3 linked regions of the Macaca fascicularis genome follow. Each later gene encodes a partner of the first gene's protein in a complex. Links are inferred from orthologs where the notes say so. Each region holds a gene or a part of one and is shown in the gene's direction. Other genes may lie near its edges.

Region 1 (4,257 bases):
GAAGTTACCAATCAGAAGATGAGGAGAATGTTAGTGACAGCTGTGCTAGTAACAGTAAGCAAAACAGATTGTCAGTTAGTGAAGGGGGAGAGAGAGAAATTACAAAAGGCAGAGATAATCATTAAGTCATGGCATCCTACAGTCCTTTGGTGTAGCGACTGATAGCGTTTGGACCTCCTGGGAGAATCCCTAACACCTAGGAAGAATATAGAATAGGAACTGGATATATTTCCTGAATCCACTACAACCTACTACAACAATTACTTTTAATAAAATTGACACTGAATTGTCAAGAAAATGCTAAATGATGTTCAATAAACCGCTTAAGAGAAACATTTGCAATACATTGTAGAAAAATCTTTGTATTATGGTTAAAAATAATTTTCGTAAAAAAAGTTTGACCCCCACTAAGGGGCCAAGCTCCAATTACGCTGGTCATCATTGAAACGGTTTGCTTTGTATCAATTCTGAATAAATGATGCACTAAAAAACAGCAGCCTTTACTAATTTGCCTACAGCAGATTTTGAATTGTGGTATATGCAAATAATATGGTATTATATGAGGTTTAACTTTTTAAAATGGCAACAGATTGCATAGTTCAATCAGTAGGGTGATGTAAAATAATTGTTTTTAAAAGTGCCATTGTCACTAAGGAAAACATCGGTACCATGTGCCCGGCACTGTGCTAGGTGCTGAATTTATTAAGCATTAATTTGAAAAATTGCTTTCACTTTCAAGACTGTGACAGTATTCTAAAACTCTCATTCATATTTTTAAAGGTTAAGTGAAATTTGCAGTACACAATACAGCCATTACATAACAGGCATAGAATACAGTTTCATGACTTGGATAGTTGTTGTTTTTTAAGCGCATTAGCAACTCCATTTTCAAATGCTATCAAATTCTTCAGGATATAAAAACCTACATGTAAGAATGGAGTGCCTCATCGGCTCATTTGTCTTATGTAATAAGTGTTTTAACACAGTCATGCCATTTCAGAATTTCGGGTGAGACTAAGCTATACTTTAGCTTTTTTGTGTCAAGCAAAAACAATTTCAGCAACAACATTGGTTTCCCCTGGTAATTTTTTTCATGGCGAATTACTAAATGCTGGATGCTCAAGTCAAAAAGAAACCTGACATCTGGGGAGGTGTTGAGGGGGTGTTAATAGTTCTAGGGAGATGTTTGGGGAGCGCTGAGGATACGATTTTTAAAACAGCAAATACACGGATAAGGGGAAATTATGGTTTCGTATGACTCTCTCCTCCCTCCACTTTCTCGTTTCAGCAGTCTGTAGCCCCCCCAATTTAGAGGCGGGTTCAGCGAGATTAGGCTGCAGGAAACCAAGAGGCTCCACCGCGCTGCCGCCCCGGCCTCGTGATGTAATTGTTATTTCTTATTCGGAGACTGAACCGAGGAGAGCTGCTGAAGAAGTAGCAGCTCTGCTCCTTTTGCCTTGTCTGGTTCCCGGGGATGATGTAGATTGGCTGACAGACTCCGCTGGAGACTTCGCAGTGACAAAGCAGCCGAGGATTAACCCTGCTCCTGGGTCCTACGTCTGTCCAGGGAGCTGAGCGGGGCGCTCCTCAGGTCTCCTTCCTAGTTTTCCTCCCGGAGTCGCTCCACATGAGGGCTGGGTGCCTACTACGTGCTGGGCGTGGGGTCAAAGTGACCCAGAGTTCGCGCCCGCGCCCCCCACGATTAAAGCAGGACACACAGATTACAAGGAGATAGAAATTGGGTGGGGGGTGAAAGGGGGCCCAGGGAGCGCGTGTTGTGGGGTGAAGGGGAGGAGGTAGACTTTTAAGGCGCCAGCACCCAGGCGGGGACCCTGGGGCGTCTGGGGTGCCCCGGTCCCCAGGCTCTGCCCAAACGGGAGCATTCGGCCTGGGTCCCGAGAGCGCTTCCCCGGGTTCCCAGGAGGAGCTGTCCAGGCGCCTGCAGCGGTCGCGGGCGGCTGGACAGAGCTGGGAGCCCGGAGGACGGCCAGGGCGCGCCGAGCAGCCCCTCTCTTGGGGACGCGGTCCTTTCGCTGCCTCCGGGCCCTGCAGCCCCGTCTGAGCCACCCGGAAAGCAGGCGAGGAGGAAATCCACGAACCATAGGGGGCTCCGCAGCTACCGCGAGCGGCCCGGACCCGCACGGCTTCCTCCTGACCGGCTGACAATGGGAGGGAGGGGGAGAAAAGGGTTAAGAAACTTGGCTGAAGAGCTGAATGGCGTGGGGCGGCGAGGGGAGGGACTGGGCCGCGGCGGACTCGGCGGCGGAGGGAGGAGCGCGGCTGCGGGCGGGCGGGCGGCGAGCGAGGCGCTCAAAGTCAGCCTCGCAGACATTGCAGCAGAGCCCCGAACTCGGGAGGCGGCGGCGGAGGAGGCGGCGGCGAGGCGCAGGGACGATCCGGCCCCACGCCCGCCCGCCACCCGCGCGCGCCCGTCCGCCCGTGGCCTCGCGTCCGCCGCTGCGCCGGGAGCGCCGCTGGTCGGAGGGAAGAGCTCGCCGGGGTGCCGGGCCAGGACGGGGCGGCAGGCGCCTTCGCGGACCGAGCCTGACGGAGCCGGAGGCTGGGAGCCGCGGCGGCCTGGGGTGAGTGACGGCCGCGGCCAGGGCGCCCAGAGTAGCGGCCGCCGGCGCCGCCGGAAACGGCCCCGGAGCGCGGCCCGCGTCGGCGCTGGCTTGGCGGGCAGGGCCGCGGGGGCGTCGGGGCGGCGGGGGCAGCGCGGCCGGCCGCGGGCGCGCACGGGGCGGCGTGGAGGGCGCGTTTCCGGGGAAATCCTGCCTCTGCTGCCTGGTTCGAGTCTCCCCGGGTTCTCGCGGGGGGCCGGGGCGGCGGGCCGGCAAGTTGTGGAGTGGCCCCGGGTCGGCCCGCCCGTCCGTGCCAGTTCTGGGCAAGGGGGCGGCCGTCGCGTGGCCCCTGCGCGGGGTCGGACACTGGAGCTCGGGGGCCGGGTCGGGGTTGCCCCTCGCTCGCCTGCCCTCTTGGTCGCGAACCTCGGGCACCGCTCGCTGCGCCGCTCTCGATCCTGCTGTCCAGCCGGATCCTGGGCGGCGCCTTTCGCCTGGGTGCCTGCCTGCTCCGTGCTTGCTGGATACCCGGCTGGGAAAGTGAATAGGAAAACGGACAGCTCGCCCGGCCCCCAACGGACCCCAGGCCCGCTCTGCCCGCACTCGCCGTCCCCCCCGGATGGCGTGGCTCACGGACCCGAGGCCTCAGCCATCATTTTACCAGGAGCCAGGGGCCGGCCCCCATTTAGGGTGAGCCCCGTGGAAGTCCGGGAGGCTGCCCTTTCTCCCTTCTGCTGTCCCCACCTTACTACTATTGCATATTGTTTTATGAAGGTTTTCGTGGACGTATTCTGCAGACCCTCACATCCCTTCCAAAGTAGTTTCCCAATTTTAATCAGGAGTTGGTGTTCAGTCTGAAGGAACAAAGGAACCAACTGTGTCTTAGAGGCGGACAGGCTGGGAGTCTGTGACACATGTTGATCTCTGAAGCATTCCAGGAGTTTCTACCTTTTATCACGTCAGTAATTGGCTGCTGAAGGTAGTAAAAGAAGTACGGAATGATAAGCACTTTTGCTTTTTAAAAATATTTTTTAATGGCACATTTTACTTTGGGGGAAAGAAGACGTTCTTAGGCACAAGGATTTTTAAAAACTCGGCCGGTGGAACTGAGGTGGAGTTTGTCTCTGGTATTGTAAATGATTACATGTGGGATTGTGAAGGAAATTGTGTCGTTAGAGGAAGAGAAGCCATCTGTAGGTGTCCGTAGTAAAAAATGGTTGTCGGATTATAGGTGATCAATGCTCTTTCTGTTTCTTGGGAAAATTTGTGAAGCAAGGGGCTTCGGTAATTCATTCTTTAAAGTTATGAATTGCATTGAATGCTTATTAGTGAATCATAGGTTTAGTAAGTGGGTGGCATTATTCAATGTTTAATCATCAGTTTTCCACCTTTGTGGAAGAGATAGTGAGATAATAGACTTTTTAAACAAATGGTGTTTCATCTGCTTAGCCCGTAAGTGTCGGTTGCCGCCTGGTGTATGTTGAAATGTTTTCACCTTCGAAGTAAGTGAATTGCTCTGCTTTTGCCCAGCAGTTTGGTAATGTCGATAGGGTTTATTTGGTTCAGGGGAGCGCTGGCTTCATCGCCTATAGTAACTTTTTTTCTGCCTGGGCATAGTTCCTAGAGACAAAGAAGGAGAATCAATTAGTGGAACAGCTACTGCCCTGCAGGTTACAGGATTGGTTGCTCTAGTCTG
Region 2 (3,568 bases), on another chromosome or scaffold:
GTGCAACAGAACTAGCGTTTTCAGATGTTTATGAATAGGGATCCTACTGGGCACGGAGGAGTGCTTTGGTGGAAACAGTTTTCAAATTTAGCTGTATTTGTCTAAGAAGACACAACCAGCACTTACCAGAAGAAAATGCATCTGTAGCAGTTCTAGGAAAGACATGGGTAATTTTTGATCTGCCTTCAAGGGAAGCAAAGGTGTCCACTTCTAATTCAGATTCTCCAGGAGGGGTCACTGCTGTGCATCATACATGCGTGAGCATATGGGAATATGTTAAATAAATAAAACAGACCCTGAACTGTAAATGAAAGGACATTTTAGCTATGTCAAAGGAAAAACAACCAGTTTTACATAAAATTAAAGCTTAAGTGAACATATGGCATAGTTTCCTTTTGCCTTTCCAAAAAACATTATGTTGATTATACCTTCAATTGTCCAATCTGGCATCTTCTCCTCAGCCTGCATAAGCTGTTTGGCATTCTGCAAATACAATCGAGGACTACATTAAGCAGATTTTGCACATTATAATAAAAAACTCTGATAATACAATAAAATGCAATAAACACTAATGCTTAATTTCATTAGAGGTTTAGTTTTCCTGAATTCACTAATATACAGACTGCCTGCTTCTCATTTATTTTATACAAACATTGACTGAAACCATTGATAATTGCCTCTACTGAAAGAAAAATGAGCACCAGCCCATGTGTAAGTTGAAGTGATAGAGAAACATCTATGGTTTTCTTCGTAAACCTGAGAAATTGGGAAGTGGCTTGTCAAGTACCTTTAAGAAGATTACAGCAATTTCAGTGAGCTCCATTTGTCTGAGATAAAGAGGACTCCTAATAAATCATTACTCATTATCTAAAGGCCTCTGTGTTAATTTTCCTTAGTCCATCCAATTAGTGTGTTTTTGTAACAAACATTTATAAAACTTAATTTTCAGATCCTGTCAGATAAGTGTCAAGAGACTGTGCCTGAGCTTTGCTGAGAAAGTGGCTGGGGAGATTTCTGGACCCTGACTGATTGTGTACTACAAAGGCCCGAGAATGAAAATTGGGTTCTATTGATTCTAATTAGGGAAACATTAAATAAGATTTACCTAGAAACAGTGCTGCTGGCTATTCCATTTTCTGAATGATGGGAATTTCTAAGCTTCAACCAAATTTCTCTGACCTCTCATGTCAAGTATCCATTGACTTGGATAAAGCGAGTGCTATGTTCCCTGTACTAAGAAAAACTAGAGTCATGATTACCTTTGGATATATTTTTATGCTCTTTACTATTGTATTTTCTTCTAATCCTGAGAATTTAGTGGTTGCTGACAGGTTTTGTTGCATTGTCAGAGCAATGAAAGTTGAAACTTTTCCAAGCATAACTAAAAATACAGGGTGTTGTTTCTGTAGCATATACAAACAAAAATCCAAATTAAGAATTAAAAAAAATTAATCTCTATTTAATTTTTTAATTCTTTTCTAGTCTACATAGTATTTGGGAATATTTCCTCCCAAATCTGCCTACTCAATTTGATGATGATTGAATATTATCTGTTGTCTATTTGAAATAAGCTTAATTAATATGTGAGCCATATTCATAAATGTTTAAATATTTTGTTGGAAAAAGTGCTAATTATAGCTTGGACAAACCTCAATCTTTCACGAAAGGAGATAAAAAGAATGCTATATTTAATTCTAAGTTACGTGAAGTCTTTTTATATTGGGTTAAAAAAGTTAAAAACTTAGAGGCAAATAGTCTGGTAAACACATTGGGAACTTTGGCTGTGTTCACAAGAACCTCATTTAAAGTCTTGGTTTTCTACAGTAATAGTACATAGAACATTTAAATATGTGGGTTTATTCTTACCCGTTTGTTTCTCCTCACTTAGGAGAAAGTATAAAATCTTAAGCTACATATAGAAATTGAAAACAGGGCCAACAAGAAAAATCATTCTGTTACCACGACTTTACAGCCCCTTCCATAAACTCTCACATGCCCCTGAGCAATAAAACACATTTGATGTGATGCTTTCCATTTGTCTCTAGTGTTTATTTTTTGAAGGATTTTTAAAACATATATCACAAATTTAAGACAGATAAATCTGAACCAGAGAATGGACTAAGGACAACTGATGAAAATAGAGGATTAAAGAATTTGACATACAGAAGAGAAAATGACTGTAACATTTAAGGAGGAGTATTTTTATGGAAACATATTAGCTGTATTTGGAAGATTGGCTGGGTGTGTGGGGAGGGGGAGAAAAAAAGAAATTCCTATTTAATGCATCCCACGGAGATAGAGTTATATAGTCAGTAATTCACCAAGGCAGAAGGGCTCTGACCTTTACTCTTCTTTAAAGGAATTAAGACAATTAATGACTTTCATGCCCATTATGACTGTGGGCATTAGTAGTTCTTTGCCTCCTGTGTTATGATCTATATTTCAATGGTTTACTGGGGGTTTTATTTTAAGCTGTTGTATACCATTTAATCTATTTCACCAAATCCCACTTAAGAACCAAAGCACAAACCCAGAAAGCATCTAACTTGTCTTATCTGTTTGCTATAAAAATTTTCACTACAGGACAGACGTTTCATTCCAGCAAAAGCAGGTAGAGCAAAGAAGAAAAAAAAAAAAAAAAAGAAAGACTACATTCTATCATGACTGCGGTGGCATATGTCTTGCTATGAGTTTTCCTGCACACTGTTTAATATATACCTATTGAGCCATAATTGGAATATTTAGAGTTTATTGTAGGGTATTTGGGTTGTTTTTCAAAACACAAAATACTCTAAGGTTTATAAAAGAGGGATGATACTACTAGTGATCTTGTAGTGCTCTGGTCTGATCCTGCAGATAACAAGATTGTCTCACATTTGTTGGTGGCTGAACCGGAGAAGATCTATGCCATGCCTGACCCTACTGTCCCCGACAGTGACATCAAAGCCCTCACTACACTGTGTGACTTGGCCGACCGAGAGTTGGTGGTTATCATTGGATGGGCGAAGCATATTCCAGGTACATTTTCTGAAACAAAAAAAAAAAAAAAAAGAAAAGAAAAGGTTGCATATATATTTGGGCAAATTCAAAGTTTTCTCATTTGGACTTAAAAAAACCTTTACGTTTATTTTTAATCATAATTTAGAGCTTTGCATATCCTAGTAGAATCCCTTCGATTTTATATTTTTTATATTGGCACCACCTTGAGTTCTTGTTAGTTTTTCATATGTACAGGTACTACTGCCAGTGTAAGCTAATGAGAATATAAATTTAAAATATTTCTTTATGCTTTGTCAAAATTCCTACCTTTTTCCTAGCAAATACTTCTGCTTTTTCTTTTCACTTTAAAAAATGTTTTTGTCAGCGATAGCCTAATGTACTATTTTCCCAACTAAGAATCACTAGTTTTGTTCATAGTGGCTAGTTATATTCTATTGCTAGCCATATTCACAAGCTTTGCTTTGGTTTACAATCAGATATTTATCTTAACTTTACAGACAAATTGTGAAAATAAATATTAATTGGACATGGTAACTTTTCCTATATGGTAATTTAAAGTTAGCATTTA
Region 3 (3,568 bases), on another chromosome or scaffold:
TTCTCATGTTTCAGACTCCCGTGTAGCTGGGACTACAGGCGCCCGCCACCATGCCAGGCTAATTTTTGTATTTTTAGTAGAGATGGGGTTTCACAGTGTTAGCCAGGACGGTCTCGATCTCCTGACCTTGTGATCCGCCCGTTTCGGCCTCCCAAAGTGCTGGGATTACAGGCGAGAGCCACCGTGCCCGGCCTGTCACTTGGAATTCTATTGACAATTTTAGTTGACAAAGATTACTAGAAAACTTTCGTATTTTTCAGAAAAGCTAGCAGGATTGATAATGAATATTTCAGTCCGAAGTATAATTATTAGAACGTCCCGAGGGGCCATGATAGTTTCATTTGCATTCTTATGAGTATGGCCTCATATTTAATTGTTTATCCTTTGGAAGGGAAGGATCCTTCCTTTATGTATTGGTAAAATGGAAAGGTTTAACACCCTGTTTTGTAACTTCCTTAGATCACTTTTCATTCCATTAGGAGAAATTTTGAAAGAGGAGTGAAACTGACCTCTGAGTCTCTAAATATTCATTGTGATATAATTATCTGTATCAAAAGCATCCAGAGAAGGGGGATCTTGACACCATGTCGGAGGAATGCTAAAGAATATCATTTTTTTATGTTTAGATCGCTCATGGCTGCAAGAAAAGGTAAAAATTGAAAAACTGCAACAGAAAATTCAGCTAGCTCTTCAACACGTCCTACAGAAGAATCACCGAGAAGATGGAATACTAACAAAGGTGAGTGCCGAAGGCTTCTGGTTGGCATGGCCTGAACTATCCCTTGGCACAAATCATGCTGCCAGTATGGTCATGTAAGTCATACGACCAATTCCCAAAAGTATCAGAAAGCAACAGGCTACCAAAAAGAAATAAATTTCCATTTCAGTAAAATTCTGTTGAGCCAAAACTCATTATTCAGTCTAAATTATACTTATTATCATTGATTACAAAGTGTCCTGCAACAATAAGGCAATATAGGAAAAAAGGTTACATTCTAGAAATTCTCTTCCATCAAAGTTGGGCATAAAGCAGAGTTAATATTCTGCACTGACATAAATTAGAAAAGTAATCTTTGAATTTATTTATTTTTTAGAGATAGGGTCTCACTCTGTCTCCCAGGCAGGAGTGAAGTGGCACAATCATAGCTCTATGCAACCCTGAACTTCTGGGCTCAAAAGATCCTTCTGTCTCAGTCTCCTGAGTAGTTGAGACTACAAGCGTATGTGCTACCACACTTGGTTAATTTATTTATTATTTTTTGTAGAAATGGGTATCTCGCTATGTATCTCGCTATGTTGCCCAGGCTGGTCTCGAACTCCTGGCCTCAAGCAGTCTTCCCTCCTCCACCTCCCATAGAGCTGAGATTATAGGAGTGAACCACTGTGCCCAGCCTATAATCTTTGAATTTAGAAAGAAGTTATAAAGGACTAAAAGACTTAATCAGAATGACCATATATACTAATATTAGTTCCACGTCCATTAAATTCATTAGTCATCAACAGTAAATGACTTTTGCATTTTTGTCAATTTCCCATCACTACTCTGTATTCAAAGCATAAGGTTGCATTTTTACCTATCATTATCTTTCACAATAAAAATATGATTGTAATGCCATTTTTTTAAATGTGCTAATATCCATCAGTGCCACTGCTAGTAGTACGTATTTGGTCTTAGAAAAATCAGCCCTGTTCTTTCTTATTTTATGTATTTTATTGTGTGAGATGATGTGAGAGGTTTTTGGTTTTGTTTTCTTGTTTATTTGTTTGCTTTTTTTTTTCTCCTTTATAGTTATGTTAGATCAGAAAGGGATAACTGGGGGTTAATTGCTGTTTTTGCTTTTGATTTCGCACCTGTTAGGTCAGAAAAGGGTAACTGGGGATTAATTGCTGTTTTGCTTTTGATTTTGCACCTGTTAAATGAGGACATGGGGCAGGAATGAGAAGTGGAAGGGAAGAGCCCTGTCAGGAGCTTCACTCTCTTCTCCATCTTTTTGCCCAAATGCAACGGTACCATTATGATCTCTGATTATAAACAGCACTTAACATGTAGACAAGATCTGGTGAAAACATTTCCTAGAGAAGGTTATTCTGGGTTAAAATAATAAGCATTTTGCCTTTGTGAGGTGCTGTGGAATCTGAAAGTAATTTTGCAAATTGTGTCATTATCCTTAGCTGATAAATGGTCAATGCTGGGCCCTCCATCCAGGTCTTCTGACTCGATTATTTTGCTCAGACCCAGCATTGCTTTATTACAGGCAAAACTTCTTATCGAAAAGAAACTTGTAGTTATCGGAGTTGACTAGTGCCAGTTCTGCATAAAATGTGTAGAGTATGCCATCATCTCTGGTTGCAGTGCCCTCACTACCCACCCACCACTGCCCCTCACCCACTTCTCTATCACCAGACATCTTCTTTTTGCACAGTGGTAGAGGGCAGGGTTCCAGGAAGTAGAGAGAAGGCATCTTGGAGTAGAAGGAGAAGTCAAGAGCCTTGGGTTCTGTACGAGTCTGCCGCTGACAAGCTGTGCCAACTTTTGCTTATGAACATCTTTTCTAGTTATTAAATTATTCATCTTGAAAATTATATTTAATGTATAGTTGGCATTCTATGACATGACTATATTATCATTTATTTATTTATTTATTTATTTATTTAAGAGACAGAGTCTCACTCTGTCACCCAAGCTGGAGTGCAGTGGCGCGATCTTGGCTCACTGAAACTTCTACCTCCCAGGTTCTAGCAATTCTCCTGCCTCAGCCTCCTGAGTAGCTGGGATTACAGGCGCACACTGCCATGCCTGGCTAATTTTTTTTTCAGTAGAGACGGAGTTTTGCCGTGTTGCCCAGGCTAGTCTCGAACTCCTGAGCTCAGGCAATCCACCTGCCTCAGCCTCCAAAAATGCTAGAATTACAGGCGTGAGCCACCGCGCCCAGCCATCATTTATTTTTACCAATCCTCTGCTACAAGATGTTTAAGTTGCTTTAAGGGTGTTTCACCATTATAAACAATGTCATAAAGATCATTCAGATTCCCTGATCTCTGATTTTTATACCTGTTCTTGCCTGACAGTGTGTCCTTTCTTCCACTTACAGTTAATATGCAAGGTGTCTACATTAAGAGCCTTATGTGGACGACATACAGAAAAGCTAATGGCATTTAAAGCAATATACCCAGACATTGTGCGACTTCATTTTCCTCCATTATACAAGGAGTTGTTCACTTCAGAATTTGAGCCAGCAATGCAAATTGATGGGTAAATGTTATCACCTAAGCACTTCTAGAATGTCTGAAGTACAAACATGAAAAACAAACAAAAAAATTAACCGAGACACTTTATATGGCCCTGCACAGACCTGGAGCGCCACACACTGCACATCTTTTGGTGATCGGGGTCAGGCAAAGGAGGGGAAACAATGAAAACAAATAAAAGTTGAACTTGTTTTTCTCATGCATATGATTTCCATTATGCCTACAGATATGGACCCTTTTTCTGTCTTGACTTCTTGATCGTTGACCTCTGTTTACAACAGAAGGAGGGTACTAAAGTTGGAGGATTTCCTTTTCTTGT

What was found. The genes of interacting proteins can lie anywhere in the genome.
Region 2: the proteins of NRIP1 (region 1) and ESRRG are in contact, whole or in part, in a crystal structure (PDB 2GPP), measured with the Homo sapiens proteins. The link is inferred for Macaca fascicularis from reciprocal best matches to the Homo sapiens genes NRIP1 and ESRRG. Residues at the interface, in NP_001426204.1 of Homo sapiens: Ser378, Leu379, Leu380, Leu381, Leu383, Leu384, Lys385, Ser386, Gln387; in NP_001429.2 of Homo sapiens: Val277, Ile280, Lys284, Phe289, Leu294, Gln297, Met298, Leu301, Gln302, Lys448, Leu449, Glu452, Met453.
Region 3: the proteins of NRIP1 (region 1) and RORA are in contact, whole or in part, in a crystal structure (PDB 4S15), measured with the Homo sapiens proteins. The link is inferred for Macaca fascicularis from reciprocal best matches to the Homo sapiens genes NRIP1 and RORA. Residues at the interface, in NP_001426204.1 of Homo sapiens: Thr499, Leu500, Leu501, Gln502, Leu504, Leu505, His507; in NP_599023.1 of Homo sapiens: Gln332, Val335, Lys339, Phe344, Met345, Gln349, Gln352, Ile353, Leu356, Pro505, Leu506, Glu509, Leu510.

What each region holds. Positions count from the first base shown.
Region 1 is NC_088377.1:32,171,300-32,175,556, forward strand, and holds the start of NRIP1 (nuclear receptor-interacting protein 1), read left to right. Parts: upstream 1-1,410; 5' UTR 1,411-1,591; intron 1,592-2,099; exon of another isoform or gene 2,100-2,167; intron 2,168-4,257. UniProt on the Homo sapiens protein: Modulates transcriptional activation by steroid receptors such as NR3C1, NR3C2 and ESR1. Also modulates transcriptional repression by nuclear hormone receptors.
Region 2 is NC_088375.1:74,369,344-74,372,911, reverse strand, and holds part of ESRRG (estrogen-related receptor gamma), read left to right. Parts: intron 1-2,835; coding exon 2,836-3,018; intron 3,019-3,568. UniProt on the Homo sapiens protein: Orphan receptor that acts as a transcription activator in the absence of bound ligand. Binds specifically to an estrogen response element and activates reporter genes controlled by estrogen response elements.
Region 3 is NC_088381.1:37,013,129-37,016,696, reverse strand, and holds part of RORA (nuclear receptor ROR-alpha), read left to right. Parts: intron 1-626; coding exon 627-739; intron 740-3,092; coding exon 3,093-3,257; 3' UTR 3,258-3,568. UniProt on the Homo sapiens protein: Nuclear receptor that binds DNA as a monomer to ROR response elements (RORE) containing a single core motif half-site 5'-AGGTCA-3' preceded by a short A-T-rich sequence.